4 linked regions of the Lepisosteus oculatus genome follow. The protein of the gene in region 3 interacts with the protein of the main gene of each other region in a biochemical or structural test. Links are inferred from orthologs where the notes say so. Each region holds a gene or a part of one and is shown on either strand. Other genes may lie near its edges. The genes, in order: scn4ab, dgkza, snta1 and adra1d.

What was found.
Region 1: the proteins of snta1 (region 3) and scn4ab interact in a test that uses a peptide from one of them, tested with the Homo sapiens proteins (2 studies listed by BioGRID and IntAct). The link is inferred for Lepisosteus oculatus from reciprocal best matches to the Homo sapiens genes SNTA1 and SCN4A.
Region 2: the proteins of snta1 (region 3) and dgkza form a complex in vitro, tested with the Homo sapiens proteins (2 studies listed by BioGRID and IntAct, with this or other methods). The link is inferred for Lepisosteus oculatus from reciprocal best matches to the Homo sapiens genes SNTA1 and DGKZ.
Region 4: the proteins of snta1 (region 3) and adra1d interact in a test that uses a peptide from one of them, tested with the Homo sapiens proteins (2 studies listed by BioGRID and IntAct). The link is inferred for Lepisosteus oculatus from reciprocal best matches to the Homo sapiens genes SNTA1 and ADRA1D.

What each region holds. Positions count from the first base shown.
Region 1 is NC_090723.1:7,791,493-7,799,585, forward strand, and holds the start of scn4ab (sodium channel protein type 4 subunit alpha B), read right to left. Parts: upstream 3,338-8,093; 5' UTR 3,221-3,337; coding exon 3,114-3,220; intron 160-3,113; coding exon 1-159. UniProt on the Homo sapiens protein: Pore-forming subunit of Nav1.4, a voltage-gated sodium (Nav) channel that directly mediates the depolarizing phase of action potentials in excitable membranes.
Region 2 is NC_090716.1:4,642,551-4,650,851, reverse strand, and holds the start of dgkza (diacylglycerol kinase zeta), read right to left. Parts: upstream 3,188-8,301; 5' UTR 2,965-3,187; intron 1-2,964. UniProt on the Homo sapiens protein: Diacylglycerol kinase that converts diacylglycerol/DAG into phosphatidic acid/phosphatidate/PA and regulates the respective levels of these two bioactive lipids.
Region 3 is NC_090711.1:15,463,911-15,471,741, reverse strand, and holds the start of snta1 (alpha-1-syntrophin), read right to left. Parts: upstream 3,432-7,831; 5' UTR 3,360-3,431; coding exon 3,068-3,359; intron 1-3,067. UniProt on the Homo sapiens protein: Adapter protein that binds to and probably organizes the subcellular localization of a variety of membrane proteins. May link various receptors to the actin cytoskeleton and the extracellular matrix via the dystrophin glycoprotein complex.
Region 4 is NC_090696.1:7,476,275-7,484,673, reverse strand, and holds the start of adra1d (alpha-1A adrenergic receptor), read left to right. Parts: upstream 1-5,343; 5' UTR 5,344-5,796; coding exon 5,797-6,748; intron 6,749-8,399. UniProt on the Homo sapiens protein: This alpha-adrenergic receptor mediates its effect through the influx of extracellular calcium.

The sequences.
Region 1 (8,093 bases), on a different chromosome or scaffold from region 3:
TGCTTCTCAGCCGCCTCCTGCTCGACGCGCCTCTCGATCTCCGCCAGAGACTCCGGCGTGAAGCGACGGAAGACTTCGGGGCCTGTCGGAGGGAGCAGGTTCGCCATCTTCGCATTCTGCACCGCGGGCAGTTCCTCTTGCAGCTCTCTCAGCAAAGGGCTGCAAGACAAAGGTGTGTATGAGTTCCACCTGTCAGACGCCCCGTTCGTTCTGAGTTCTTGTCTCTATAAGGAGGACACCCAGTGTATAGCCGAGCTATAAATCACACTTCAGATAAGGGCTTGCGGGTTTCCCATCGAAATTGTTCATGGCTCTTCAGTGGTTTGTATGCTGTCCCCGTGTTTGTGTGGGTTTCCTCTGGGTGCTCTGCTTTCCACCACAGTCCAAAGAGAAGCTGGTGGGTTAATTGGTCTGGTGTGTTTGTGTCAGAGTGTGCCCGGCAATAGACTGGTGTCCCACTCAAGGTGTATCCTGCCTTGCTTATTGGGTTAGGTCCCAGCCCCCCCACAATCGTCTATGGGACAAACTGGCTAGAAAATGGATGGAGAAATAGATATTCACTAACAGTATCAGTACAGCATCAATAAACATGCCAGCTGACCTCTACTTGCAATTATTAACACACTTAAATTGTGCTCATAAAGCACAGGTTTACAAACACATAATGTAGTGTTAAAAACTGTTTCTCATTTGCGTTTGCAACCCCTAAACCAAAGTCTACCCTCTTCTAATCATGGGGGGACTTAGACAAAACAAAGCCCAAACCTTGGAGCATCAAAACACTCAGGAAGGTCAGATTCCAAGCCTCTTATTGCATCCCATTGCAAAGAACCAGTCCATCCGAATAGCTGGATACATTCACTGGCAATTTGATTTACATAATAAGGGCACTGACTATGTTCAACGCTGTAGGGAGTCCACAGCATAGATGTTCCCCGGAGGCAAACCCAAAACATTTCACCTCAATTCCAGCAACAGAGAGACTACATTTTATCCCTACAAGCAGGAATCTACATTGAGAAAAGTATATGGTGGCAGTGATGTGCCATTTTTCACCATTTTGTATAGCACATTATGTCTAACAATTACTTATTATGATTTCCTTCATCTATCCATCTTAAGCCCTTAATATATCCTTATTTCATTTATCCTAAATGGAAGCCTAACCCAGCAGGTAGAGCACACAAGGTTAACTGCACCCTGGAAAGGGTGCCAGTCCTTCACAGTGGGGCAAACACCCACACACACACAATTTAGATGTTAAATGAGAAGGAACTGAGGGTTTTAGGGCTGTAGTGAAGGTCTGGGGACTAGATTCTCAGGATAGGTCTATTTTATTTGTTTTTAAATATTACTCTTTGCTTAGCGGACACTGTTGTCCAGGGAGAATTGCAGTTGTTTACAATATACAATAAGTCGAAAAACCAAAACAGAAACCATAACAACAACAAAAAAGACAATATGAATAATTCCATCAATATCCAATAAAGAGCAGCATGAAGGTACAGTAATACCACGCAGGGACAGGGCAGAACAGTTGTTTCGCAATGAGGTCATTACAATGCAAATCCAGGGGGAGGCAAAAGATAACATCACAAAGTTAAGACAGCATGCGACCAGAAATCAACAGGAGTAGTGCAGTACATACTGTAAATACAGGTAGCCTGGGAGTGACTGAATGTATAACTGAGAGAGAAGACAACAATGACATTACTGCCCCTGTCAAGTGTGTGTGAAGGCAACACACCTGCCCTATCTATCAGCTGAAAGTAATTAGAAGATACATGCAAAGCAAGTTATTATATCAAACCAAAGGTGCAGGAACGCCAACTGTAAAACTGCTATTTTAAAACAGATGAGTTTTTTTTATGCACAGAATTTTTAAATTCCTCAAATGATTCAACCTAAGAAAGAAAGCTGGCCGTTTTATTTTTGACTGCGAAAGAGCATTTTCTTCCAGGGTGTTGACGTGGTGAAGAAGTTCTAAACGGATAATATGGTTATCCCTTTTTCCCGTTGTTAAATTGCAAACAGATATCTCCCTCGCAGCCTGAGCAGAGCGTCTTTAAAGACCAGACCCTTTCCAGCTCAATTTCAATACCATTTTCTCTTCCTTGCTTCTCGCATGCAACCCCTCTCCTGTGCACTCTCCTTGCCTGCCTGAATGGATCTGATTTACTGCCATCTTATTCTCTCGGCACCTTCCAAATGCTGATCTCTTCTTATTACCCCCTCTTAGACCCAGCTACACCAGAGCTTGTATTATGTTTCCATAATTGCCCTCGTTTACCGGTTTGTGCTATTTTTTAACAACTCAGCAAATCCTTAAAATGACTCACCTTCATGAAAGCTTATTAATAACATATTGACAAGGTAGAAAAGATTCATTTTGAATTTTGCTTATGGGTGACACTTGCATTGTACGTCCAATACTGGAATTCCTGTCCTTGGCTTAACCGAAGTTTTATTATACCTGATCCTACTTGTGATCATATCTATTATTTCCTTTTGCATCTGTATGTAATGTCAAATATGGCTAAGGGTGTCTAAACAAAATAATAATAATAATGAAAGTAACAAAATGAATTTCAGTTCTAAAGCTCCTATGTCAGTGACAGATACAGGTACATTGTACTGCACACTGTAACCTGCAACAACCAGAGTGCCTGTTTCTCCTTCGCAGTCCTTTTTCAGACAGGCAAACAGTTCCTGTCCATCTGGTTTTTTGTTCGGAATGCACTTATTTCTGGAAGAGGCGAAAAGGTTTCAGATTTAAGTTCATGACTGTGAGTGCTTTTTAAAAAAAAAAGAAAGAGCAAATTGTTTTTACTCTGTTATCATGCAGCTGAAATGCAAAACTTTTTTCAACAGCTACACATGAGTGTTGCTTATCTGTATTCTCAGTCCCAATCCAGTCCTGCACTTTGACTCTTTCATCAAATTTCAGCTCAAACTATAATATGACCTAAAATATTAAAATATATAGATGAAGGAAAATTGATAAGGGCAAACAAATGAACCTTCCAATGAAGGGTCATTTTTGGAAAAGCAAAGCCGGTTGTGCTGTTTGAACTACCTCAAATAAAAGATTGTTAGCAAATCTTGTCACTTACAGGAGCCTGCGAGGGAATCGTAATTGTTTCCATTTCCAGACAGAAGTGGTTTTATTCTTTTCCCAAACTTCTAGTAACAATTTGCTGGACATCTTGTCCGGATCCATGACTTCAGTTATCAGTGAATGTTCCTTCCCGCAGTCTCTATTTAAAAAAATGCTCCCTTTCTGTCCCTCAAAAATGAATTTAAAGGGTCCTTTTGTTCATTGGCAATGATTATGAAATTTTAAGTTCCACCCTCTGGCTGCATTTGAAAGAAATGAAGCTCAAATCAATATTCCAATGTTTTTTCCCCCCAGTGCAGCACATTCCGAACTTTTCCCAGAAAGTTCACTTTTAGTTCTTCCTCTTTGTTTTCTTTGTGACAGTTGATTGTTCGCCTCATTCGAATTGTCCACAGCATGGCATGTGCCTATGTTTTCTAGAGGTTAATTTTGTTGAGGTATTAATCTTTGAGTTCCTCTTCACCTCTAAACTGAATTGACTGGGAGAGGAGCCTTTTCTGCTGTTCTGAACACCCAGACAAAGGCAGATTTTAACACTTAACATGCCTGGTTTCTTAAGACAAAAAGCAAGTGTTTCTTTTTTACTGTATAAACTGTGGGATGTCTTCACAGTTCAGCAATACTTTTATCCAAGTCAAGCCAAAGACATCATGAATGCCAAACGTGTTATTCAAACAGGTTGTTCAATTTAAGAGCACATGGCCGCCAGAAACTGTGAGAAAAGGCCCCACTCATCAGCCTAAAGAGTCTGGTCCTTTTTATGGCATAATCTGATTTTAATTCCACAGAAAGAACACAGACAAAGAAGCAGTGTTCTTTTCTTTTTCAGTAGTTGTCTGGAAGCCCGCCATATGCCTCCCTAAAAATAAGTAGGCTCTTTCTTAATTGCTGTAGTGTGTACAGGGCAGATAAAAACAACAATAGATTCTGAGAACATCTCTGGACTAGGTCAATGTCACTCTACATCCTATTGGGCTCACTAAGAGGTCAGTCTGGCCAGTCAATTATCCATCATAATGATGGATGTATTTACTAATAAGCCATCCATTTTCTAATCATTTCTTCCAATTCAGTGTCACAGGCAAGGCAGACTGTGACACCCTAGATAGGACCCCAGTACTTTGTGGGGCACACACACAGATACACACACACTCACCCTTTAGGCCAATTTTCCCAGGAGCCAATTCACCTACCCGGAAACCTCACCTCTTAGCGGAAACCCACCCAAACAGTCCATCAACAAAGTTAATTGAAAAGAAATACATCGCTTTAGGTAGGAATTACCATACCTTGGATTTTCCCTTTTTAATACAGCAGATATGTCTCTAAGCTGATAATTAATTTGCTGTATGTGGAGTACCACAAGTATCTGTTTTAGGATCCCTGTTCATCATGATTTGTACAGTATCAATGATTTAGACACTGGTACAGCTAGCACCTAGTCAAGCTTACAGATGATACCAGACAGAAAAAGAACATAAAGTATACATATGCAATTAATAACTCTACATAACAAAAAGACTTCCTGTAGAATTTGTGTATAATTTTGCTCAAACGTAGAGAAAGATACTTCTGCTCTGGGATCTGTCCAGAGAAGAGCAACCAACTGCATTCTCAGACTGAAAGGAAGTGTCCTGCACTAACAGGTTAAAAGAACTGATATTGAACAGAGAGGACTTCAAGAAGGATATCCAGGCTTCTTTAAAGAACTGGTTAGTCATGATCCTCAGATCAATTAACTGCTAAAAGTCCAATAAGTTTAAATGGGCGAGTGGTCTCATCTGCTTACTTTCTTCAGTAATGTGCTGATGCAAAGTAATCTTAGTTTGCACGGAAGTTACAGAAATATTGAGGTACTGAAGCCCGTTTTGCATCGGTGACTATACCTAAGTAAGCAAGGTGTTACCGTGGACTTTATATATAAAATAAAATAAAGCGTTAGAGAGAGACACAGACGCGGGCTCGTAAATCCACAGGTCTATAGTAATAAATAGGTACAGAGGAGCTGATAGGCGAGAGGGCGCAAATAAACGACAGAGTGGGCTTGGATGATTTGGAAGATGTGCTCGGGGAGAGCGCAGGGCTGGGAAAAGCCAGCGCTGGGTCAGATACGATGGCCGCCCAGCTGCTGCGGGCAATCACCAGCAGCGTCGGGTTTCAGCAGGCCGATGACTGCGCTCATTCCTGCCGCTCTGAAACCTCCAGCTCTCACATCGCACCGATAAACAGCCTCGCATTCCAACTCGGCTTACCGGCTCCCTCTCTCCCACTTTCTATTTTACTCGGGAAAAACCCGCTCGCTTCCGCCTGCCCCTCCCGGCCAACATGTCGCTTCGAGTTAAGCTTTCATTTTTTCTGCCAGAAATGGCCAGCTCACAGTTATTTTCCCACAACTATTAGGCTACACCGTGCCATTCTAGTGGTCTATAAAAAGGCTGCTGCTTATATCCAGAAGGTTATTTTTTTAAAGATATTCTCCTAGCCAAAGGGGAAGGTACAGACTTAGAAGATACTTACTAAAGGGGGTCTTTTAAAGTTGTGAACGATATTTAATAAGTGCCTCTGGAGTTCTGGAGTTTAGGTCTAAGTAGCTACCTGTGTCTGAATTTCTTTTCTTTTCACAAATAAATACAGAACCTTTTACAGTGTTATCTATATACCTAAAACAGTATATATGCGACACCTAGATAAAATTACAAAGCCAATAGAATTACTTTTGCCCAGGTGCATCAGCTCATGTATCATTTTGAATGCTTGGAATCTACCTGTGTCTGAGCTTTTAAAGGAGAGGAGAAAGACAGGGCTGGAAACGCCTGTCCTGTTGGCAATCAGAAAGCTGCTGGGCCCTATTTAGGGTGTTAAAAGGGAGATCCATCCCTCATGGTGAAGTCACCTCTGATTCAATTGTGAAACGGGCTCGCCTGTGTCTGTTCGGGGACAGTGATGCCTGTAGCAAATCAAGAAACGGGAAGGAAAAAAAAAGTGTGTCTTTTGGGAAAAATTTACAGAAGGGACAGAAATCAAACAAAAGCAAAATGTGCTTCCGGCTGTCGAAATAGTAGGCCGGAAAACAAAGCAAGCAAAAGCTTTCATCTGCAGAATTGTGCATCACTCCTCCGGAAAATTGTGGCATTTATTTTATTAGATTGCTACTGAAATGGGAAGGGAAATGAGACGCAGGCCAGTCCGTACAAAATTTGGAGAGCACTTACTGAAGGTTCCTACTTTAGAGGTAGGAACCTGGAAAAGCAACAGGGTTGAGGGTCATTATGGGGTCATTAATTAGATTGGCTCGCAGATTTCCTCCTGTGTATTTCAAAACACATCCTCATTGCAGTCCGTCTGAATCAGGTTCATTAGAACCCATTAACAGCAGTGATACTGAAGCACTTTAGCTAGCTGCAATTTTTTTCTTCTTCAAACTAAAATGGCATTATGTGTGCAGCTTCGATGAGAGGAGCCAAGAAAGAGCAGGTCAATCACGTATACTGTAGGACTACGTTTTTAGGAGCAGATCGCAAAGTATCTGAAAACATAGCGTGGCATGGATACTGTAAAAAAAACAACAACTTCATTTCTGTCTGAGGATAATGGGCCTGGAGAACTGAGACAATTAGTACAGAATGTCTCCACAATCTTATAAACAAAGATGAAAATGGCAGATGAAGCAGGACTGCACAAGCATACTCTTGATTAATTAATGAACACACTGCAATAAAATGCTGAATTTGGCTTGGAATTAGAAGATAGACACATGTAACAGCCTCATGCATGACCAGTTTCTGTACCCCCGTTTGCCTATAGCTCAAACCACTGTTGATACCAGCAATGTTTTCAGCGCTCGTGAAAACACCCAATATCTTTGTTCGGTTTGTTAGGGGGGCAAGCTGATGAAGTCATGCTTTATGCTGGACAATAGTCGCCTTTTCAGCCCTGCTTTTGCTGCGGAGATCTGTGACCGCCGTGGAATCCGACAGTGGAAAAAAGAGCTGTGGGGCTGGAGGAAATGAGCAGTACCAGTCCCTGTAAGAATAAAAACATCCCTGCTGTAGCCTGGAGGTCACAAAGGCCACAATTCGCAAGGAAGGTAGGGAATAATGCTCGGAAAGAAGACTTCACTTAGCCCATAGGCTTGGGATCCCAGTAAGGATGATCCACATGATCCTGCACAGGATGTGCCAAGGAATATGGATGTATATAGGAAATATAGGAGTTGTTTTACAGTAGCTAGGCATGGAATGTGAGCTAGGAGTTACCATCAGGAAGCTAATTTACTCAATTTTAGGTTTTTGGCTCTGAGGGTAGCATGCTTTAATACACTGGATACTACTGCAGTAACAGTCAGGATAGAAATACCTTTTCTATTATTGTTGAAAAAATATCAACACTGTGAAACAGAACAAAAGTAAGCAAATCAGTAGGAGATCACATACCCCACTTTTGTTCTGCTAGCTGATTTAGGTCCTCTTTCTCAGGTCTGACTTTTCTTTATTTTTTCTATAATTCTTCAATCTTATTTTAAGAAATTGGACACAGTCTAGAAAGTAAGCAGCCCTGCGGGAGTGGGCTTCTGTTTTCTTAAAGGTTAGTGGTGGGTTCTGGTTGGTGTGCCCTTAAGACATATGCCTCACATGACAAAATGTCAAATTATCAACTTCAGGTTTCAGACTGATCAGATTGGTAACTCTTGGAGTCACCCAGAAGATTCCCTTGGAGAATGTAAATTCTATAATGTAAATATATAATGTATAGAAACTGAATTTCAAATTAAGGCAGAGACCAGTTGCACAGTTGCACCTTTTCTGAAAATGTCAGTTCGTATCCTGAATAGACTCCATTTTATATTAGCCCAGAAAACTTTGGAAGACATATACTATCCTCACAGTGATAAGATAAGAAATATATTTTGCCTAGAAGTCCAAAAAAACTGTATAGGTGGACATACAGTACTGTTCACTTTTTAACACGACACTGC
Region 2 (8,301 bases), on a different chromosome or scaffold from region 3:
GTCCGCAGAAAGGGCATTCAACTAAAACCTACCTTGAGAACTACTGTATGAAGATCTGGGTTATGAACACAGGGAAATTCTCCTGAAGAACACAAACCTCCGTCTTCCAAGGCAGAATGAGTGAACAGCAACGGAGACGGATGCATTTTGAAAGAGTAACTCTCCTCCTTCTGCAGTGCGCAAACAATTTCTTTTTCGGAAATAAATTCAGTCCGGGTGCACAAAAAGTTGTCAGCAGGAAGATCTCGGGTTTAATCATTAGCAAAGCTCTATAAACTTGGTGTGGGGTGGAACTGGAACAGAAAAACGGAAACTGCAACGATCTCTTGCTCTTAGACAAACCTTCTCCGTTTGCCAAAATGGAACCAATCATGGGCTATACAAGACCACAAAAGGTTTGTTAATATTTTGTAATACTTGGAAAATATCTGGAGAACATACTGTAGATAAGCATTCCTTTTTCTTTTAAATGTGTCTGCCAAATTTCGTCCTTTGATTTTTCCCCGACAAGATCTGTTCAACGCCACAAACCAAAAAGTTTCCCTTACCACTATTATATTTTATTCTGTGCACATCTTACAATGCTTTCCACTTCTCTTAAGGTTTTCTGAGGAGGTGGTAGTAAGACACTCCCCGTACTAATGGGAACTAAAAAACCTGATTAACCTTAAAGCTGGTCACAATACAAAGGAACAAAGCTGAGCACAAAGCTTTGATCTTAGAATTATCTAGGAAAACCAAGAGCATAACTCTCCTACCAAATAAAACTTTCCAATACATTTCAGGGCCCACAGTTCATGATTTAATGCAGAATGAGCACAACCAAGAGTCTGCAACCCAGTCAGCCATCACAGACAACAACTCTTGGGAAACGTGTAAACATTTTCATTTTAAACATTATATTATTCAAACTACTTGTGGTTATTTTATTATCATAACGTCTGTCAGTGAAGGGTGCATTTTGTACTAAAAATGGTCTTGGAAAACCGATCGTAATAACTGAGCAACAGATCGCTTCTTACCAGATGAACCATAGCATTATCTGATCACACCTCTAATCTTTATTTTTGAAAGAAAACCTTTTAGCATTGTACTCTAGCATTGTGAAGGAAACTTACTTTAGGTTCAAAGCTTACTGTATATGCAGATGATTCTCATTTATTCATTTATTCAATAAATGTAAAAAATAAATATCTATCCAACTCAGTATTGAATATTTGGGGGATTTCATGGTATAGTAATCCTGTGCAAATTATTAATTCAACATTAAAATATTCTGGAATAACTCACTATTGCCCTGGTTTCCTTTCCAAAAAGATGTGAGACACCACAAACTTATTACAGCTATATTATACATAAAATGAGACTTTAGGTATACACTCCAACAGAAAAACTACTCAAGCCTTTATTTTTATACATACTGTACTACTGTACCAGTAAATGTATTTGCCAGTTACACATAATGAAATGCATGAAAATGCATGAAATGCATATGGAAGTATTATTTCTTTTGTAAAAAGTGTTTCTAGAACTAGTATTTCCAGAACCTACTCAAACTACTGTTTCCAGAAGTAGTTTTCTTTAATTACCAAGAAGCATATTACGACACAATGATTATGTCTTAAGAAAATAAACCACAAAGGAATACATTTTACACCTAGCAATTGATGTCTGTTAATTACTTGAGAATGCACTGTGACCATCTCACACAAGGATAAAAAACACAGGTCAGTTCTCTGACCAGCATTTCAGTAAGTATTTTTTCAGGCACTGAAAAAAGAACTTTTTTTGAAATTATTAAATTGATAGGCTAAACCACTGCCCTGCCCTAAAAAATAGAAGAATGCATTTCTCTCCCTCTTGCTAGAGCTTCATTGGGACCAGTTTGAAAAGAAAAAACACACAAAAGGCCTCTGCAGTATTTTCTCCCCATCTCTAATCCTCTACACTGTAAACACAACATTATCATCTGCAAGGAATTAAAGCAGCACTAAAGAATCAGTGTTTTTAGGTTTTTCTTTTCAAATTTGTACAATTACTTCACACAACAATTGCACAAAAACATTTCAAACTATTTGCTTTCTTTGGGGTTTTGAAATTGTATCGATTTTCATCTTCAACAACTTGAACACAGTACCTAGTAGTTTACATTAATTAGTTAGAAATTACTTGAACTCTGCAGCTTGATAATAAATTGATTTTGGGAGCAGTGGTTGTGAGACTGTAAGGTTGTGGGTTTGAATCTCAGGAGCGACACTCCTGTCGTTCTCCTGAACAAGGTTCTTCAGCTCAGTTGTCCCAATAAAGCTACACAAAAGGATACAAATAGACATCGCTTGAGATAATATACACTGATTCCTGAGATCTGTACATCATTGATTGATGTCTTAGAAAAACTGGCCTTTGTTTTGAATAAAACTTATTCGATAAAGTGGACCTGGCTTTTTAAGAATCAAAGTGGAAACAAAAATGCATCACCCTATGTGGAACATGACAGTTTCATACTTCACAAAGTCAAACCGTAAAATTCCAAATTCCCCAAAGGAGTAGCTCTAAACGCACTACATGTCAAGCGTTTCGCCATTTGCTTTAAAATGGATCTTTAAGCACAATGACACTCATCTTCATTAACAGAGGAACTGCTAAAAACCATCCCAGAAACACAGAAGTACACTATTGCTTGCACTATAAAAACAAACCTGGTTTTATATTTTTGTACCTTGATGCAAAAGCATTTCTAAAAAAAAAAAAACAATTTAAATTAAATCAGTCCCACTGCAGAATTTTAAATCTTTGTGGTAGTCACTATATTCAGTGTACAGCCACGTACAGTATCAGTGTAAATATTAGAGACCTCTAAAGAAATAAGTTCTGCGGCTTCAAAAACTAAGACAGTAATGCATTCCCAGACCAATTTAAAACAACGATTTTACAAGACTCAATAGTAAAAAATATTCATACAACCTGGTCTCTGAGGAGAGAGAGTGTTTATCATCCAACCTTTCTTTTGTCCTGTAAACTCCAAGTGATTTAAAGAATTAAAAAGTATAGATCAATCTCTTGGAAGGAGATAGGAGACGGCTGGCCTACTGTAACAGACTTGCTGGAGTGGAAAAGCCAGAGAGAAAAACGTAGTAGGGGGGAGTGGGAGAGAGAGACGATGTGAGTGCTTGCATTAAAATAACTCTTGAGCTGGTAACAGAGTGCACTTCCTCTATATGCTGTTGAGTGTGCGCGCGTGCGCGTGCACACATGCACACACACAGTCACTCGCTGGCTCAATCTGCACAGCAAATCCAGCCAACAGATTAACTCTGTCCTTGGTTTCTACAGCAACCATGCACATAAGTGACCTGACACTAGCACGTACACAAACACACACAAACAGATGCACCCCAACTGCAAGTAAACCAGTCCTTTCAGTTACTTCTGCAAAAGCAAACTTTTACCCTGTCAAAAGCACTGGTGAAAAGGAAAAAAACATGCATCAAGACTCAAAGTTTACCCAGTTATGGTCTAGTCAGTGACCTAGAATCCAAATAGATCTGCATCTCTCACAACAGTCACAAGGAAATTGATAAATCAATACGGCACAGAAATCTCAACATTATTTTAACAAATAGATCTTAATGGCCACACATCAAGAGATAGTAAGAACACAGCAGTGTGTGACTATTTAAGTTCTAAATCAATAGCTTACAATACTCTTAGATAGAGCTAAAGATAAACATCACAATTTTTAAAGGAAAACAAAATAAAACAAGCTTGCACTTGTTTGAGATCTGAAACAAAGTGCCAATTAATATGTTTTATGATCCCTTTTAGATATTGTCCTTTAACAAAGCACAGATGAAACTGAAATGTCATTTACTGTTACCTAACCCATGTTTCTGTCACTGAAGAAGATTTTTTGTATTCTGTAACATCCCCATGGAGTGATTTAGAGACTAAAATGAAGCACTCATTAAATGTCTACAAAATACAAACCTTTCAATTTTAATTTAAAAAAATCTGTAGATAGTGAATTTAAAAATGCAATCTCTAAAACCTCTCTTCTCTTATGTTCTTTGAAAAACATATTTGCAGGTTATGTTTTTGATAAATACTGTTTTGATAAAGAGCAAGCTGTAGTTGTTATGAATTTGGGATATATGAATATTAATTAGTCCCAGTTGTTTCACAATGCTCAACAAGTGCCAATTTACAGCAGCCTCTTTAAGCAGTTCTACTTCCTGGCATTGTGAAACAGACATGGCTAATTAAATAATTACTTATTATCTATGATATATTATGTACCCTACTGACACAGGCAAGGATGTTGATAATCACAGCCAGGCTCATCCTCTAGAGCAGAAAGTTCACGCAAGGTGGAAAGAGCAAAACAGACCATCTGACGTAACAAAATCTCTCCCAGAGAATGAAGTCTCTTCGTTGCCGGTTTCAGTTCCGTAGGGTTTACTCTTGCTCAAAAACCTGACTCCTACCTACCAACAGATCTTCCCCACCCAGCACAGATGAAAGACACAGCTTCATCCTCTAATACTCTGAGGCCGTCACAATGGGTTTCACATGTGCCTCAACCCTCGAGAATTTTCTATAGGGCATCTTACTCTGCAAGCTCTCTTGGGAAATAGAGTTCAACTAGCATCTTAACCCAGGATGATGACTCTCCAATTCATGTTCCAAATCTGTACGCCTCACAGGTTCCTACCCCAGAGAATAAAACACAGTTTACAGTATACTGTACATACATGCAAATATTCACATTCACACACTCATATTGCATATGTACACAGAATTCTGAAATGTTTCTTTTTCTTTGTTCACTGTGTGAATTAAAGGGCTTGACTGTGGCCTTGTCTCTGGTGGGTGGAGATACGAAAAAGCCAAATCTGTCCCGAGCAAGAGATGACCTTCCATGCATAGCACACTGTACTGTACCTGGTTTCAATGTCTTTAAAACCAATTATCATCCTCTCATAGCTGGTTCGGAGAATTGAATTTCACACCAGAGGAAAGGCAATCACTCTTTAGATTGCACAAAAGCACACAGAGAAAGAATCCATTTTCACCTGTGATTTCCCAAGCTGAAAAATGTGCTTGTTAACATCCCCACCCCCATGGAAATCTGTCACAACAATTGTTTTTCCCTGCAAAGCCTTTGCTGCCTCTTCGGCTCCTTTACAAGCAAACCTTTCCCCGAGAGACAGAATCAACATATTTCACAAAAGTTCCCTAGTGTAGATAAAGAGGTTTTACAAATGTTGACACCAAGCAGCTAACAAACTCACGTTCTGCCTCAGAGTTATCATTTTCACAAACATAAAAGCCAGATAATTAGGCTCACAACATCCATAGACAGATGTCAAACAAGCACTTTTAAGACAACACTACAGTAGGTCACATTTGTCCAACTGGACCCAACAATTTGGGAAAGTGGGAAACACAGGTGTGAGTCTGGGCTCTGTTATTTGCCAAGAATTACCCAGGGTTCACCAAGCCCCTATGCGCCAGCAGCATTATTATCAAGAGCTACAGCTGCCCTCCGTCTGAGGCCCTAGCTGTGTCAGCGGTGCTTGGGGCTCACAGTGTGAATAGGACAAGGCTGTTTCTTTTCCTGTGCAGGCAGGGAGGTTGGAGAATTGGCAGCTCCAAATCTGAGGCAGGTGAATGAACAGGATAAATTGCACCACCTTAAAAAGGTGCATCTTCACATGCTAATTATCATCCAGCTCTTGGGCAGAAACAGAAGAATGTTCAGGCTGCCTCCCTCAGCACCTGTCGGAAGGCACTTTTAACACACTACAGTGACAAACGCAAATGAGTTTGCAGCAAGAACATTTGATGTGGCAGTTGTGGGAGAGAGCATCGGTGAAATCGAAGAGCTTTCTTCTCACCTGGTCGCCGGCTGAAAAGCAGAATCAGGTGTGAGCTGTGCAAGTGGTTTAAATTCATTTGCAAAGGAAAGCACGTCTTACGAAAGGGACTGGCTGCGTTATCTTTTTTAAACATTCAAAAGTGAAACGGGCTCTGGGTTTGGACCATTTATTTCTTCTTGCCAAGATTGTAAATAACATTTGGTGGCTTCAGTAGTCATTCCTACAGTCAGTAACAGCGTACTTGAAAATAGGAATCTTTTGTGAATTTAGAATGAAAAATGACGTTTCTTCTTGGTGGCTGTGTTTTAGTTTTGCATTACTTCCAGAGCTCAGAGAGGTTGCTGTTCATCATCAAAACGAAATGAACACAGTTTATTAACTGCTTGTAATATCTGATCGCCAGATCCCGGACAGTACAGTTAGCAAGGCTGGACTTCGTCAGTACAGGGATTTGAGATGTCAAAAGGAAAACCCAGATTGCCAACATTAAATGGTGTCAGGAGAACAGTAGGTGACACTCATACTTTAGGATTATTCCTAATTTCCAAAAAAACAAATACCCCAGGATGGTGACTGAGGACACTCTCCTTTGGATGATATTAAACTGAGGTCTTAGGATCTTGATTGTTAATCTTACGGTACTGTTTAAAAGAGTAGGAGTGTTAACCGTGCTGTCTTAGTAAATTCAATGGTTGGTTTATTTAATCTGACCTACCTAAGGTCCCTCTCAATTCAGCACTTGACCAGGTAAATACTCAGCTAGTTTCTTTAGTTGCACTGCAAAACATACAGGTCTATTTACTCTAAAACTTACACCTGCTTACCTATCCAAATGCCCAAGTGATTTGAAAACAGCCCAAAGGTCTATTATAATCTAGTATCCACATCTGTGACAGAAAGATTTCCATCTTCTTTAGGTAAGCAGGAATACAGAAAAAAAGACAAATAAGCCTATATCCAAGGCAAGGCTGGAAACTGAAAGTTGATCTTACAAAATGTTTACATTCTTTTCATCTACAGACAAATTCCAGCCAGGGTTCCCAAAGATGCCATATGGTATGAAATCAAAACTAATCTTTCAATCTGCAAATGTAGTTTAGAGGGTTAAGAAAGGTTTTAACAACTCTCACTCTGCAGTATTTTTCTGTATTTGAAAGTCACTGAAAAAAACAAGGCTGGAGACCTTGGAATTGCTCTGAACAAATGCAAAAACAGGCACCCAAAAGGGGATTTCAGAAATTCTCCTGTCTGGCGATGAGCAATTCCATTTAAAATTTCATCTGCAGAGAAATTCAGATCTGCCCTGCAGCCAAATAAAAGTAAGCAAATCCATCCACAAGCTAATTATAAAAGTGGTCCAAAATTAAATGTGCAACTTAATTTTATATATGCTGTCAAAGCCAAAGCACTTGCCTGTGTAAAGTAAAGTATGGCATACAAAACACAGCATAAAAAGTTATTCAAAACGGTTTTAAAGGGAAAAAAAACTCTATACTCAGTGCATGACTTTTTTGTTTCGAGAAGCTTTCTTAGCCCCGTCTATTAAGAAAGAGCTCACAAGGGCTCTTTTTGTTTCCACTTCAAGGCTGAAACGCCAGTGAGTCACTGACTTGCCTGCCAGGACCAGGGGCCGGAGCCCCAGCAGTGTCAAAACCAGCCCTGGCAGGGGCAGGTAACACGTGAATCATGAGGTAAGGGCCCGGAGGGACGCAGAGAGCTGGCCAAACCAATGCCAAATAATGCTGGTCGTCATTGGGAAGGAAAGGGCAGAAGGAAAAATAGAGCAGGGGTGGCCTCCGGGTCTCTCTCTCACTGCTCCCTTCATGCCTCTGCACAGGGGGTTCTTTCAGTGGAAAAGAACGTGCTGCTTGGAAACCAATGACAACCGCAACAGCAAAGCACCTGAGGTCTCCCAGTGGCAGAAGGTTCTTCTAAATTGGCACTTGGCTCTCAAACTTGCTACCACGTCCCACTGGACAATCATCGCAATGGACGCGCCATTTCAAACACGGAAAAATCAGCCCGGTTGCTTTAATAAGGTGCCGAGGCCTATGAAACACCATGTACTTGGCGTGCCACCCAATTTATCTGAAGAGACACTTTGAACTTAACCGTAATCCAGTTGCCACTTCAGTCCCCAAGTTTTGTGTACACACACTATGCCTCTTTTCAACAGCTGTTTATAATATTGGAGTGCAGTTCCACATCGGCAGTCAAGGAGATGTCTTGCACCTAACGGCTACCAGCAGACTTTACTAAACTTGCACGTCATGCAGCTCATGTACATTATAATCACTGAGAATTAGCCTGCTCCTCTCGCTCAGGAATCACACTCCCTGTGTGACCTCGCACTGATGTGGCACTCCACTGTGTTAATGAAAAGCAAATCTACATGAGCAGCTGGACTCATAACCGACAGATT
Region 3 (7,831 bases):
AAGTAGTCTATATATAATTCAGAGATATCTAATCATCTGGTTAACAACTATTACGATTCTCTATAATTCTATGATACTGTTTTTCAATGGCCTTATACCTTATTTACTTTACCGCACTACAGTGCCCAGAGATGTGCCACACTGTGCAGCAGACATGGTAGGCCATTAAAAGCAGGAATAGGAATTAATCTCGCTGTAAGATCATTGCTTTCATTGTCCTGTGCTTCTTCTTTGCTAGATAGCCTCATTCTGTTGATTAAACCTCAAAGCAAATCAGTCACCTGAGCAAACTATTATATTTTAACTTCAAGGGGAAAAGAAAGCAGTGCTCCAGAAATGAGATCTTGCAGTAATCTTGCATATTCAGAAAAGTAAAATAAGACTACAGGGAATAACTGCAAACTGAATGTATTTTTAAAATGAAGAATACGAGCCTTGCTTGCATGGCTTTGACTTGTACTGGGATGCTGTGCTGTCCTTCAAAGAAGACCTTATCATTAAGGATCCATAGGCACTATTGAAAGATTAAGGAAGCTAATCCCACAGTCCTGGCTAAATTCTTCTTTGAGCTGTGCAATCTAAAACTTTCCACAATGGATTAATTAGGTCCGCACTTTTACGTGAAGAACTTTGGAATCTTCATTAATGAAAATTATTATTATTACAAGTACCACTACTAGTAGTAGTAGTAGTAGTAGTACTACTACTACTTTAAGGGGTGGCATGATGGGCAGGGATTACCACCTCTGGGTGCCTGGGTTTAATTCCTGGCATGCTATCTGTGTGGAGTTTGTATGTCCTGAAACAGGATTCCTACAGCAGTCAAAAGAGTACTGATAGATTAACTGTCTCCTAGAAGGTTTGACCATGGAATGAGTGTGTGTTTGTATCTGTGTTTGTGTCTGTGGTGTCCTGTGCTAGACTAGCATCCCATCCAGGGTGTATCCTGCCTTGTGCCTGTTGCTTGTTGGGGTAGGCTCCAGCTCCCCCTGTCTCTATATTGGAAAAAAGATTAGAAAATAGATGGATTATTACTTCATCACCTCTTTGCTTTTTTTAAATGTCAAGGATTTGTACTGAACTTTGTTGCAAAAGAACTTGCAATTTTATTTATCTGTGTTTATTCGTCCACAAATTATAAGAGTTTTGAAGTTGGTACTGAATTTTGTACCAGAAAAGTTAAAGAGATTATACAACCAAAGTGTCTGTTTAGCTTCCTAAATTCTTCTGCAAACTGTTTAAGGATTTGCCGGTCTGTCCTCTCATCACTGATCTGACTTGACTTGTCTTACTATATAACTAAAACTATTTGTGAAACAAATGATGATGGACCAGACAGTAAAACCCCGTATCAGTGAAAACAAAGTTAATAAGAAGGGAAAAGTAATCAAACAAGTACCTGAAATCTTTAAAAGTACTGTTTCCAAACTAATTTCCCCCCTCCACATGCAAACAACAACTACTGAAAACAAAATTCACACTATCCTAAGATCCAGTGATTCTACTTAGCTTTCTATTCCGAAAGGTTACAGCCTGTGTAGATTTCTTTCAACAGCTTGTCACATTTTTTCAGTCCCGCCAAGAATTCACTTCACATTCTCTAAACAAAAATAACTTTTAATAGTTGTGTGATGTGTTTTAGGAGATCATTACATTAAAGATACTATAGGTTTGTGGGAGTAACAAGCTACCAGCCACATTGTCTAAGATGATACCTTGGCGTCTTCCAAGAATTATATGGGTGATTTCCTCCACTCAGGGCAAGAGTCGCTTCTTTTCATAAAGAGTTGTGGGAGTATGGAACAAGCTTGCCAGCCATGTTGTGGAAGCCAATACACTTGTTTCTTCTCAGGAAATAGGTGGATGAAATTCACAGATCAAGTAGCTAATAACTACCAAATGGGTAATTGTAAAGGCTGAAATGTTTTTATGCTCTTATATTTAATTTAAAACTGTATTGTGGCACTTCTACTTCTAGTTTTATGTTTGAAATCAAGCTGTTCATTTCTTCCCACATAGTTAAAAGGACACATAGCTGAGTTTATTTTTAACTCTGTACCTTTTTGATTCAGACACAATAAGAAGTGACCAATCATTATCAAATAATAGAACTGTGATACTGTGGCAAATCTTTCTTAAAATATTTACAACCTAATTATAAATTATAATGTTTGCTGTCAGTAGAAGGCTACTCGATGCTATCTTACGCATAGAGTGGTCAGCCCTGTCCTGCCACAATGCCGTCTTTACTGGTCTTAAACTCACTGTTCAGTACTCCATTCACCAATTTTTAAACTTAATTTTTGACCACTTAATCTGGAGAATGGCTCGATTTGCAGTTTTGAGATCATTTGAATATTAAATCCTAACATTCTGTTCCACGCGAGGAAAACATGAGTTAAGAGAAACAATTGTTTTAATGAATTTGTCATAACCGATACGTTACAATTCTCGCTTAAATCATCACTTAGTAAAATAATTATCAGACTGTTTCTCTTCAGGATCTTCCCTGAACTGTATACAATATTTAAGCAGTAAAACTATAGCAATGTTAATCACAAGTTAAGGCACAAAGTAATCCGCTGTACTGTACAATTCACACGCCGTTTTAGAACTAATGTTGCCTGTTTTCCTAAACTGGGATATTCTCCTGAACAACTTCAGCAATGGAAACTGCTGTCACAGAACACTTGTTTCACGTGTTCAACAGCCCAACAAATGCAATGCCAGTCATCTTACAAAATGCAGTTATGAAGGGCAAACATTTTGACCGAGGTTTTCTTCTTCGTTCTGTATATTTGTCGGAAAAACAACACTCACTTGAGCCCAAGGAATTTCACCTGATAACAGTCGATAATGTGATATCACACATACGTCCAGTTGTCTTATTCGGGAGATTAATGATAATCATAATTTAGTTTGTACATGTAACTACATGTACACAACGAAGGCTGTCAAGAGCTGTCGACTTGAAAACAAACTTCAATGAAAGAAGTTTAACTTCAAGTAAACTTTTATGTCTTAAGTTACAAAGCAATGAAAGTGTGAGCAAATTCTGTTTTTTTACCTTTAATGCTGATTCCCAGACCCCCAACATCCTGCTTGGTGACTCGCACCGTGCGTTTGACGTTGGTGATCGACTCGGGGACTGGAGAGCTCGACCCGACGCTGGTTGAATCTCCGTTCACTGCTCCCAGGGGATTTGGGCTCAGGCTGGGGTTCACAGGCTCAACGGTAGCTTCTCCCGGACTCACCGTCAGGCTTTCCTCCGTGAGACAGGCGAGCACACGGATCCAGCGATCCACGGAGGTTCGGAGCTCCAACAGTCCAGTTTTCTGCGCCTTCATCCCGGCAGCCATGTTCAACACATTCCTGGAATAACTCCACTCTGTACGGGGTTGGCAGTCCTGTACAGAGATGGGGGTGGGGGGTGATGATCGGAGATGCCAAGAGAGAGGAACACCACGGACCCTCCCCTCTCCGTCTCTTGCAATCGCGGCGCTTAGCTCTTTTTCTGCTTTACGCATTAGAAGTTGCTTTGATAATAGTGACAATCCAGTGAAGTAGGCGCTTTTAGAAAAAGTTCAGAGATGTTTAATGGCCGAATAAAACTGATTACTGTTTTTTTCTCTGAAGATGGCTTCTCGAAGTGAGATTCCAAGGATTGTAGTGCAATTATTATTATTATTATTATTATTATTATTATTATTATTATTATTATTATTATTATTATTGTTATTATTATTATTATTATTATTATTATTATTATTATTATTATCAGTAGCAGTAGTAGTAGTAGCAGTAGCAGTATTAACAGACCTAACAAAAGAAGAGAAAAGGCAGCAAAATGCCCTACGTATGCACTGTTCCCACTCCAATGGAAAATAATTGCAGAACATTATATGAACTTATTTTTCATGAATTGTACTACATACTGTAAGCATATTAATTTACAATATAAAAATATCTGTGAAACAACTTTCATAATGCACACATTTATCGTCTGTGTCTGTGATCTTTTTCACTATCACGTGGATGTGTTGCTCTGGAGAGAGAAAATTGTGCTCAAGGCCAGTCAGATCATTTACCAAAGTCGCTCATTCCCATTTTACAAAGCACTCTGAAATTAAGCAGTAATTAATTTACCACTTGTTCAGTACTTAAGCTCGAAATGAGAGTTTTACACTTGTGCTACTGACTGAAAACGAATCATCTCAGCTGCTGCATGTAAAGGTACATAAATATAATACTGTGCTCATGAAGGCCATATCTAAAAACCAGGGGTGGCTCCAGAAATATATTTTTTAGCATGAGAGGAGTGGAGCCATTATGAATATTTATGTTATAAAGTGTTTGTAGTTGTTATCTCTGCAGCTACTAATTTAGCAGTGTCTATATACTGAGCTTGTTAGTGTTTCATTAGAAGGGATTTTAATTAACATCGATTTTGACATTTACATTATCTTTACTGCCATAAATATCTTTAGGTGGGATGGCTTAAGTTCCCCTCCACAAATAGGTCAGACATCAGTCCATTGGGCAGAGTTTTTCCAGTTGTGTGGTGGCTTCAAGTTACTTAAGGTCAACTAGCAAAATGTGAAACAGGTGGTAAAGGCTTGCTGTCATCCATACAGGTAACATTGTCTTGGCATTCTTCTGTCAAAAGGCAGCTAGGTTTGGGCAACAGAAAGTCGCTGAATCGCTGTGTGGCCTGCAGAACCTTGCAAACCGACGTTAGCCATTTCATGCAGTGCTGTGAGCGTCAGCAGAAACACAAAGCAAATCATGATAAAGAGTTACCTGACCCTGTGGCCAATGTGCCTCTACCTGCAGGAGGTTGACCCCTTGACCTACAAGCACTTCTGGAGCTATCGCAGTGCCCTGTAACTGGGGGTGTCAGCTTGGGCGGTCTGAAAGGCCATGCAAAATGCCAGGCAAGCCAAGGAGCTGCAGATTCCTGAGGACTGAACACTCGGGGGAGAACGTCCTGTGTGGGGAAGACAGGAGTGAAGGACAGACCATAGCAGGAGTCAGTAGTGCAAAACCTAAAGGAGCATTGAAGTGCATCTGGCACTAGACAGCAGGTGAAATAGCAGGAACGCCTGGACCATATATGGAATACTTAGTCGCTAGGATTTCCTTTCTCTCTTTATAGGATGAGCCTGACAGGTTGTATATCATCTTTCAACAGGAGGCGCACTGTCTGCTGAAAATGAAGTGGACAGTCTCTTTTGGAAACAGAGTACATTTACATACAGTAGAATAGCTAAGGGGTAGCCAGCTTTGGTCATGGCAAGCCAATCCAGAAGGTTTTGTCAGTCATCATTACCAAGCATTACCAACTGGCACCACAATGAACCTGAATTAAATTGTTGTTTGGACTGAGCACTTAATCTTTACTGAAGAGAAACGGCTGCTTAATTACCACAGGGGACAAAAACAATACAATATGAACATAAATAAGTATCCAGTACTCCAGTAAGTATCCTTTTTTTTAAAAGCTGTAAGTTTCTTGTTTAAAGTGGAATCCTAATTTGCACTGGCTACTGAAACGTTCATCCGTAAAAGGAACAGTACACATCTGATTACTTATGTATTCAACATACTGTGCAAATGAAAACAAAAGTATAAAGACAGTGTAAATGGCATCTTGTTAGTAACAGTGTCTGCAAATAAGATTTAAATAAAATCTTTAAAATATTCTGGTTGTTTTTTTATTATTTTTATTGCATGTAAAATTATTTTATTGTCAGGCCAAGGGCAGCAATCAAGCAGCAATATCAATTTACTAAGGGTTTACTTCTCAATTCAGATGTTAATTTATTTCAGTTTCAGAGAACTCTTGAAATCCCGCTCACATGTAAAGTGACTGGGGACAATGGGTTCAACTGACAACTCGGCCCTTATGAACTTTCTCATACACTTGTAAGAACATGAAACATTTTATTTTACCACATAAGTAGGTCATTTGTGAAAACATCAACACCCTGTATCTCTAAACGATCACCTCTGGACATTCCTGACTGAAGTGAACAGATGAACATACCAATACAATCAAACTAATCAAAACTAAATTAATAAAAGAACTGCTGTTGTAATACACTCTATTTCGATACCAAAGAGAATCCATAAAGATTTTGTGAATAATGTCTAATAAAGTGCAATTACTTCTTGCAACATGTCAGTTCATGTTACATACAATTTATCAAACAGTACATCCCAGCAATTCAAAGTTAGACAGCCTGGAGGGGTGGTGTATCTGCTGGTTTTCGTTACAATTCAGCTCTTAACTACCTCGATCAATTCATTGCTGAATTAATCAATTTAACAGCTTCTCCCAGCTCTAGTTTGAGTGCAGCTTTGAGGAGACCTAGAAAACCATCCAGGACCAGGACCAGGACTGTCCGCCTCGGCGAATGTTTCACGTTGAAGGAGTAAATTATAAGGAGGGTTGAATGCATTTTGCGATAGCTCTTTGAATATCTATTTCCCCCTCGTGGAAGTATTTCAGTATCGCAATGTAATCACACTTTTAAAAAATGCCGTCACAACAGACAGTGCTTCATGATCACCGTTTCTATCGTTGTTATTGTTATTGGTTATAGAACAAGGAACAACATGCTTTTATTTTATTACTTTTACATTTACGAAGAGTCCTGCCTGCGATATATATTTTCGTTTTATATTTGATATATGTAATGAAAATTTATTTTGGTTTCAGCGTCAACAAAACAGCTTTCGCAATACTGTGTGATCAGGTGGTAACAACTCTTGATGGGACATGTTTTAACAATGGGTGTGAAGAATTATGAATCACACTGATGTGTCTGAATCAGTTCAGTGAGATGCTGTTATTGTTAAATTAAATTTTTGATTCGGTGACAAATATATTGGGTTGTTCTTGTCTTGTTGGAATTAAAATGTTTTAAATACACTTTGGAGTCTTCAGGTGTCGTCGCTTATCAAAATAAGAAACTTGTTTTTCTGTTTCTTGCTGTTTTCAGCCTTTCATGGAAACTTCATTATTCGGTCATACCAAACAAAGAATAGAGTAGTAGAATTGTTTGTCAATTCTGGATTGGTTTAGTATTCGTGGTTTAGTTAGGAATTTTCTGTTTTTAACATTTTTCTGGGTTCATCACCATGGCACCCGTTTAATTCATTTGGTCTTGTTTTACCCGAGAAACTGAAGTTTGGCACTGCTACGAACTGTTTTCCTGTTATAATTACAAAAAACCCTATATAATTTCATAATTTTTCCCTCATTAACTAAAAACATAAATTAATTTACGTGGATTTTAAATTGAAGAAAAGCACGACCATAGTGGTCTCACCTGTTCAGTTACAGGGCAGTTCGTTTGTTTGACAGAACCAATAGACTGGTTCTCCATAAAAAAATCAGGAGGTGTCGCTATTGTTACGCTGATTTACAATTCAGTCCTATACAAAGATATGAAATACATTTTCAAAGAAAATGAAAAAGAAAGTTATGATCAGCAACAAACAGAAGACACCGACTAAACCTAATAGCTAATTGAGCACATTTTTCATAATACGACAAAAGAGTTATTATTAAGTTGTTCTTAAGAAGTTAGACTGATAACCTCTGCAAACAGTATTTAATTTATGTTTTATACAACTTGTAAATAATTCCTTTTTTGTAAACGAATAAACTGGAAATAAAATCTTTACCTCCATTGAAAACACGTGTATAAATCAGTTACAACAGTAATTATACTAATAAATTACTTGTAGGTGGACAGATTAGCATCACTAATAATATAACATTTTAGGTGTATCTCTCATTCTGACTTTTCTTTTAACTGGAATT
Region 4 (8,399 bases), on a different chromosome or scaffold from region 3:
GGAGTCATTTTTCTGATTTCAAGCATAACCCTTCATCAACACAATTCTGGATTTTACTGATTTTGTTTTAGAACGTGATCTGATGACATAAGAACAAAAAAAAAGACTACAAAAAAAGATTAGGTAATTTGACCAGGTCTGCTTATTTAAATGTTGAAATATATTGATCTAATCACAATCAGCTTTTCCTTTCAGAATAATCATTGGTTTCTACATAATTACCGGATTGCGAGATTCAGTCACCTACAGTATACCTCCTCCTTTCAGTGCTAAATATACTTCTTATATAGTAATTTTCACTTGTGTCCTCATGTACTTGTGTCATTGATGAGAATGAAGTAGTCTCTCAGGCTAAATGTGCAATACCATTCAGGGTTTGAATGCTTTGATTAAGTCTTTTCATAATTTCCTCTCTTCAAGGCTAGAGGCTGCGAAAGGGGTAATTTTGCTTCGATATTTTGTTTAAGGTCGACTCTTCAAAACTGCACCATTTCTTAAGCTGAACTCTGTGACCTTACTGACGCTACACCAAGGGCCACACTCACTTTACTTTGCTGAATTTGGGTTAATTTCTTTTACTGTAAAAATACTTTTCTTTGTAACCACTTAATGCAAATTATATTAGATTAAAAAATGATTACATTTTCTATTTATTTACTAATTTGAATGCAGGATTTGGCCATTGATATACAGTACACACATCACGCTCGTAAACCCCTCCTTGGACGCTCCAGCCCTTCCTTGTCTCCATCTCCAGCACCTGCTTCTGGTTCCTGCCCCATGTCCTATAAAAGCCAGACGTTCCTGCCAATCTGGTCTCAGCTTTGGAAGATGGACGCCCGGAAGCCCACCTCCCCGCGAGTCCAGGAGCGACTCGGCAGCATCGGCTTCAATGGCGTCCTGACCTTCTGGGTCCAGGACTGGAGCGTCTGGTCCCGTTATCCCCCTTTTATTCCTCCAACCCTCCACCGGATCCCGCTCCTGCCTTTTAACTTTGTTTGTCTGTCAGGTTGGATCTCCCAGTTTTGGACATTGGAATATTCTCGGATTTGCCTCGGACTCCTTCGGACTGTTTGCCTCGGACACATCCCTTGAACACCAGCACACCTAGAATACGCCCCCTGTTTTCCTTCCAGCCCCTTTGTATGCTTCCCCGTGTTTTCCTCACTTCTCCCGGATTGTGCTGTCTGCATAGGGTCCTGAAAGAACGCTTCGTGACAACATATATCCTGTCATACTGTACACCTTTCCAAATTCAAGTGTATAGTTTTCCATGGTTTCCAAACACATGCTGTTTAGTCATGCAAGTGATCCCTACCCAAAACATTTGTGATTCCACAGCTTGAAACAGAAATGCCAAAAGGACATGAAAGATGTACTACTGCAACAAAACTGTGACTTCCTGGTCAAATGTTTTTTTCTTATCCTCCAAACCCATTCAATTAGGCTATTTTTGAGTTTTGAGTCTTTACATATGTTACAGATAATCTACTGTACATTAAGGGCCAGAGCCGGCTTTACTTCTTGAGCAGGCTCACGTCCTTCAACGTGTGTAGTAAGATGCTCCATATGTTCTATCAGTCGGTTGTGCGAGTGCTATTTTCTATGTGGTGGTGTGCTGGGGCTCTGGCATTAGAGAAGGGGATGCTAACAGGCTGAACAAGCTCATCAAAAGAGCAAGTTCTGTCATTGGGTCTGATCTGGACCCCTTGGAGGTAGTGGCTGAGAGGAGAATGGTGAACAAGTCTCCCATCCCCTTCTATGACACGCTTGTGAGAATTAAAAGCATGTTCAGCAATAGACTGATCCAACCATGGCACAACAGGGAGCACTACAGGTGGTCATTCTTACCTCCTGCCAAAAGACTGTACAACTCATCCACTGTGTGTCTGGGCAGGGGCACCATTGGCCTGTTTTGTGTCTAAACATTAATTCTCTGTTAACAGCTGGTTTTCCTGTTTACAACTGATTTTTATGCAATATATGCTAGAAATTGGTGCAATATATGTATAATATGCACTACATCTTTTGTGTACTGTACATTCTGGTTTGTTTTGTATCTTCTGTAATGTGAGCAATTCTGTATACTCCATTAAAACAAATTACTGCACTTCGCACTGACTGTACTCACTGTATTGTATTGTTTATTATTGTATCTTTTCATTACACTGTGCTGTGTTGACACTGCAATTTCCCTCAGGGGATTAATAAAGCTATCTAATATATCATGTTCCATTTTGTGTTTGTTGTATTTTGGGAAATAAACAATTAAAGATAAACACGTGGTAACATCCATCCATCCATTCTCTAACCACTTCATCCAATTCAGAGTCACTGGGGAGCTGGAGTCTATCCTTAAAAACAATGGGTGCAAGACAGTATACACCCTGGATGAGACACCTGTCCATCACTGGGCACACACAGACACAGACAAATAGATGCACTCACACTAGAGCCAATTTTGATGTATGACTTATACCGTACTTAAAAGACAAAAACAGAGCACCAGGAGGAAAGCCACACAAAGGGAGAGATTTTACCACAGGATGAGAGAAGGAGTTGTAGTGAAGATGCTATGCCTTATTCTCAGTAGAACTTTTCAGGTTTTATCATGTGAACATCAAGGATCAGTGAACTTTCTTATTGCTTTAATTATATTGGGTAAATCTTCACCAGACAGTTAAGTGAATTACTGTTGGTGTGATGGATTCGCACAACAATACATTCAGAGACAGGAGAGAAAGCGTTGTCCATGTTACATAAGAAATGTATGCACACATAGCCCTATCAGAAAGGGTAACTAAAAGAAAATGCAACAGAATGGAGAATGGACTGTAATAACTATGCTGTTATACCTGGGTTAGCCAGAGGTCGCAGATCTCTGTCTCCTCAGTAACCAGACATATCAGCAAGAGGACAATGTACTAGAACACCACCCTGGGCTGTTCAGACTCTCTCGGGTCCGTTGTCCCTACCACCTTCTTCCAACAAATGGGTGCTAATTCCCTCAAGTCCAGGAAATACAAAAGAGAATTTGCCACTTATCCAGTGCTCTGTCATTGAGGTACCATCCAACCCAGGTAGTGTACTAAGCATTATTAACCTGTGTCTCAGAATGACACCCAGCCTGAATCCTACCTGAAAGACTCCCTGTCTGTCCTGAACCTGCTCAGCCTTTCTGTTGTCGCCAACCACCAGACCAGGGGCACATTTCTTCACTTGCAGCCTGTATTCCCACTGGAGAGTGTAGCCTAGATCAGTCCTGAAAGCTGCGTTCGCCATCTTTCACAGATTAGTCCCGTCTGCGACTGCCTTCCGATCTGCCTCAGTAATCCCCATCCATCCTTGTGAATGTCCGAGCCTTCGCCGGGATCAAGCTCTTGGATTCATCAGCCTGTCAGCAAGATGCCGCTTTTCTTATCCGGTTGCTACATCAAAACAAACACATTTTATTTATGTGAATGTAGTGAGTGTCAACACATGAACGATAGAGTTGTGGCATTCTAGTCTGTAGTAAAAAATATCAGAATCTATTAATCTAATCTATTCAGTCACATAATGCTCTATTTCTTATCAACAAAAGAACTCTCTATCACCTTACCCCACTAGGACAAAAAGAGAGCATGAACATGGAAAACTTTATCTAGGATGTAGCAACAGAATCACGAGACTTAAATTTTCCTGTACTCATTGAGTACCCCACTTACATTTCTCTGATCTGATAGGAACTAATACAGCATATGAGCTATCTGGGTGAGAAAATAGTGAGGAAACATTCAAATTCAGATCACACTTCAACCACTTTGCATGAAAAAAATCACTGTGTTGAAAATTGATACGTGGTTGTATTGAATAAAACAATCAGCCTTAGACATGTACTTTTCCAAATGTGTTGTATCTGAGCTCATTTTCTGACTTTTGCTTCCTGACTAATTGGGTATATTAGTGTCAGTTGCAGTTTGTAAATGTGAAGGGAAGTGTCATCTCTGATCACTACAGCCCTTTCCCTTGTTTTATAAAAAGTATAACTTATCGTGCATATGCTGAAATCATAAGCTATATCCTAATCTGTTACTGATTACGACACAATCAGGCTAGGTCTAAACAAACAAACTAAAGTCTTGCATGCCTTATACAGTACCTCCAGCATTTTCAGCATTTTATCAAGTGAAAATAAGGTGTAAAGGGCATTACACAGTGCTGTTTAAAAATTCATAATGGTAACTATACCCACAAGTAAAAAATTCTAAATTATTATCATTAATTTATTTTCCTGGTGCCCAAACAAATAATTACAGTATTACTCACTGTCCGGACAATATTTCAATGTGGTTTTGTACTTCCACTGCTTATTGATTTTGATTTTCTTTTTCCTTTGAACAGAGCCAGTTCCTTAAACAAATATGGCATTTTCTAAATACCTACAAATGGTGTTTTCAAAAACAAAAACCTATGGCTGCCATTGCCATGAACTCATAACTGCCAAAAGGGAAAAAGCTGCTGTACACCACAGTAGTAACAGATCTGTTTCAGTTGTATCATGAAGTCAAGTTCATGATGAAGACAAGGCTGGGGAATTGTGCCACTTAATAGTGAATAGCATGATACCAAGTGAGACATAAAAAAGACAGGGGATTAAACCTTCTGTAAAATTTAGACACAGCTTTTTTTAGATTAATTTCTACTGCTATTTCTGAAGACTTTTTCTGTGTCCTGCTCTCCAGTGAAAAGTCTTTGCAGTGGTGCAATATTTCAGAAATATTATTACTAAGAATTCAAGAAAATGTAGGAAGGCAAAATGTTCATAAACCTCAACCGTCTTGAAGAATAACATCCTGAATGAATTATAGGACTGTGTGTTCCTTTAGATTACTTTCCCTCTTAACCTTTCAACATGAGCCTCTGGTGGCTCTTAAAATAAATGTCTGTTTTGCCAGAGGGATGTGTGCAGTGTTTTGAACAGCAGCTGCGTACCATCAATGGGAATAGAGGTTAGCCTTTCGTTAGATCAGGACAGTGTAGTGGCTTAACAGTGTTTTTTCCTTCACGTAGCGACGACTAGCTAGGCAAATCGTTACGTGTTCCACTTGAGCTCCGAGTATCGAAACTTAAATCTGCCTAACTTTTTTAACTACATCACAGAAAGAGAAACATAGATGAAAGAAGTTTTAACGCGATTGTGTAGAACATGATCTGTAAATTAAGAATGTGCTGTCCTCTTGTGGACTTTCGTTGAACAACAACAATTATGTGTCGCGTCACAGACTACATTCCTGGGAGGAGGAGACAGTGAAATCTCAGCCGCAGCTCAGTAATTTGGGTTTGAGTTTTCTCACAGTGGATGTCGTCTGTGGAATATCAACAAACAGGGCAATACTCTTCACACGGCAGAAAACAAAACGTTAAAGGAATATCGTTCACAGAACTAATTTAACTGTCACTAATAATAGTAATGGAAAAACAGAAAAAAAGTTGAAATAATCTAAGAGGTGAAATGATCTTCAGAGTGAGATATATTGCTAAACTGATGATTTAGAATTTAACCTTTTTTGGTGTTTTTTTGTAGGGGGGATGAATGTGATGACGTTGCTGCAAAGCTTTCCAACAAACATGTAAGCACAAGTATTTCCACTCTCCAGTGCGACAGACGCACCTTGAGCGTGCGTTCACAAGTTCTTGCGTCTTTTCATATCTTTTGAATTATTTCCATACTGCAGCTCCACAGCAGTGCTTTAATGGTCTCATTGTGTCTCTGAACTAACTTAAAAAAAACGTTTTTCTTTATGGAGTTTCAAAATGACTTTTTCTGACTCGAACAATGATAACGATAATGGAAATTACTCCGGAGGCACCGGTAATCTGTCTCTCGCGGAACAACCTTTTGCCAACATCAGCAACAACACCTCCATGGAGCTGACATTGGATTCTCAGGCAATAGGGATAGGGGTGTTTCTGTCCGTTTTTATATTATTCGCGATCGTGGGGAACATCTTGGTGATACTTTCTGTGGTATGCAACAAGCACTTGCAGACAGTCACCAACTACTTTATCATTAACCTCGCCATAGCTGATTTACTTTTAAGTACTATTGTGCTGCCTTTCTCTGCCTCTTTAGAGGTGCTCGGATGCTGGGTTTTTGGCAGGATATTCTGCAACATCTGGGCTGCGGTGGATGTGCTGTGCTGCACTGCATCTATTATGAGCCTGTGCATAATCTCGATAGACAGGTACATCGGAGTGAAACATTCCCTGAAATACCCTACTATAATGACAGAAAAGAAAGCGGTGGTGATCTTAATAGTTGTCTGGGTCTCCTCTATGGTTATTTCAATAGGACCGCTGTTAGGATGGAAGGAACCGCCGCCGACAGACGAGAGCATCTGTAGCATCACCGAAGAACCGGGCTATGCCCTTTTCTCGTCGCTTTTCTCCTTCTATCTCCCGCTCATGGTCATCCTGGTGATGTATTTTAGGGTCTACATTGTAGCCAGGAGGACTACTAAGAACCTAGAAGCGGGGGTGAAAAAAGAAAGGAATAAGTCAGTGGAAGTCGTCCTTAGGATTCACTGCAGAAGTGTCCTGGAAGAAGCCGCCGCAAGCGCTAAAAGCAAAAGCCACCCTTTCCGAAGTTCCCTGTCCGTGCGCCTCCTGAAATTCTCCAGAGAAAAGAAGGCGGCCAAAACTTTGGCCATCGTTGTCGGGGTGTTCATCCTTTGCTGGCTACCTTTCTTCTTAATTTTACCTCTAGGTATGTAAGAAATCGTTATTTTGTTTTTGTTTGTAGTAGTGTGCGGACCAGGGCGAAAAAAGGTGTGTTCTTGCGTTGAGACTAAATGTGGCGTGAGAGTGTGGGGGATTTTATCGATTAGGTTACCCAGTCTAACAAAACTACTAACGTCTCTTTGTGTAAACAAACGTGCAATGTCGTTTCAGTAAAACAAACAAAAAAAGTGATTACCTATCCGTGTTAATGGACGCTGTCAGAAAGTAATGCAGGCGCAACTGATCTCGTTCTTATTGATGCTGCCTTGATAAAAACGTAGAAAAAGCTAAACGGGAATTTTGCTTTTCTTTTCAAAAATATAAAATAAAATGTGTCTTCGTATTCCTGCAACACCAGCAATTGACACCAGAGAACTGATGCGGTGAACAAATTATTTTGACTAAATTACAAAAATTCAGTAAAAAAAATACTTCATATTAACTAAAACAATCGGATTGTAGAGTATGCTTAGTTTACAGTGTAAAGTAGCGTTTAGTGCTGTATATGGTTCAGAAGTGCTTCAACATATCATGTTTTCTATACAATGCAAAAACAGGTTTAGATGATGGTCATAAAGATGTTTTTCGTTATTAGTCACTCTCCAAATAAAACCAGCTATATAGATATAACCAGGTTTCGTTATTCTTAAATAGAGATTCAAGACTTAATTGAAGACCAAATGAAAATTAAAACAAAGTGAGTTGGCAAAGCTCTTCTCTTTTTTCCCTTTCTGGCAAAGTGTGGGAAGAATTAATGGCTTATTGTTTAAAACAAGTCCACTACTCAAACTCACATTTCAAGGCATTCTAGACTGTGAATCCAGTAATTTCAACAGTCTGTTAAGTTCTATGGCTTTTAAAATCTATCCTCTGTAAATGGTCACATACCTCTATCTAGAGAGATTGTATTTGTCTTAAAGTCTTGCTGAAGTATTTGCTTTTCCCAATATCTTCTGGTACAATTAACTGCCACACTTGACAATTATAAAACTTTAAATGTATGTTCTTAACAAATTTAGCAAATATCATTCATGTTAGGTTTTCAGTTCAGATACTCTTAGAGTATTTACGTTTAGTTTACCAAAAAGTAATATTAATATATTTTCAATTTAAAACATATAAATCTCACTGTTTTCACAATCAGTTATATCATATTGCTTAACTGTAAGGAATAAGACATCAGGATACTCAGCTTTCAAACTCTTGAGATCATGTACTGTATTATTACGTAATTTTATGTAGTCCTATAAGAAATTAAATGCATCTGTATAACCGAGATATATAGATATTACATCTATATACTGTATAACATGTAAAATTAGGATTCTAATTATTCGGTTATGTCTTTCATCTTATTACTTATTATAGACACTTTTCCACTGGTTATTTTGGGTCATGAGGGAAAATTTCTATCCTGTGTTCCCATGAATAGAACTAGGTCTGGTTCATTAATAACTTATGAAACAATACATCAATGAGTCTAATCTGAAAATTCCCTTGTTCTAAAATGTAATGACTCTCCCTTTTTCTCATAATGGACACAGATTGTGTACTTGAAGACATTGCACACATTAATACATTAGTGAATATCAAATAAAGTCAAAGATATTTTTTTTCATAAGTTAAATGAGAAGGAG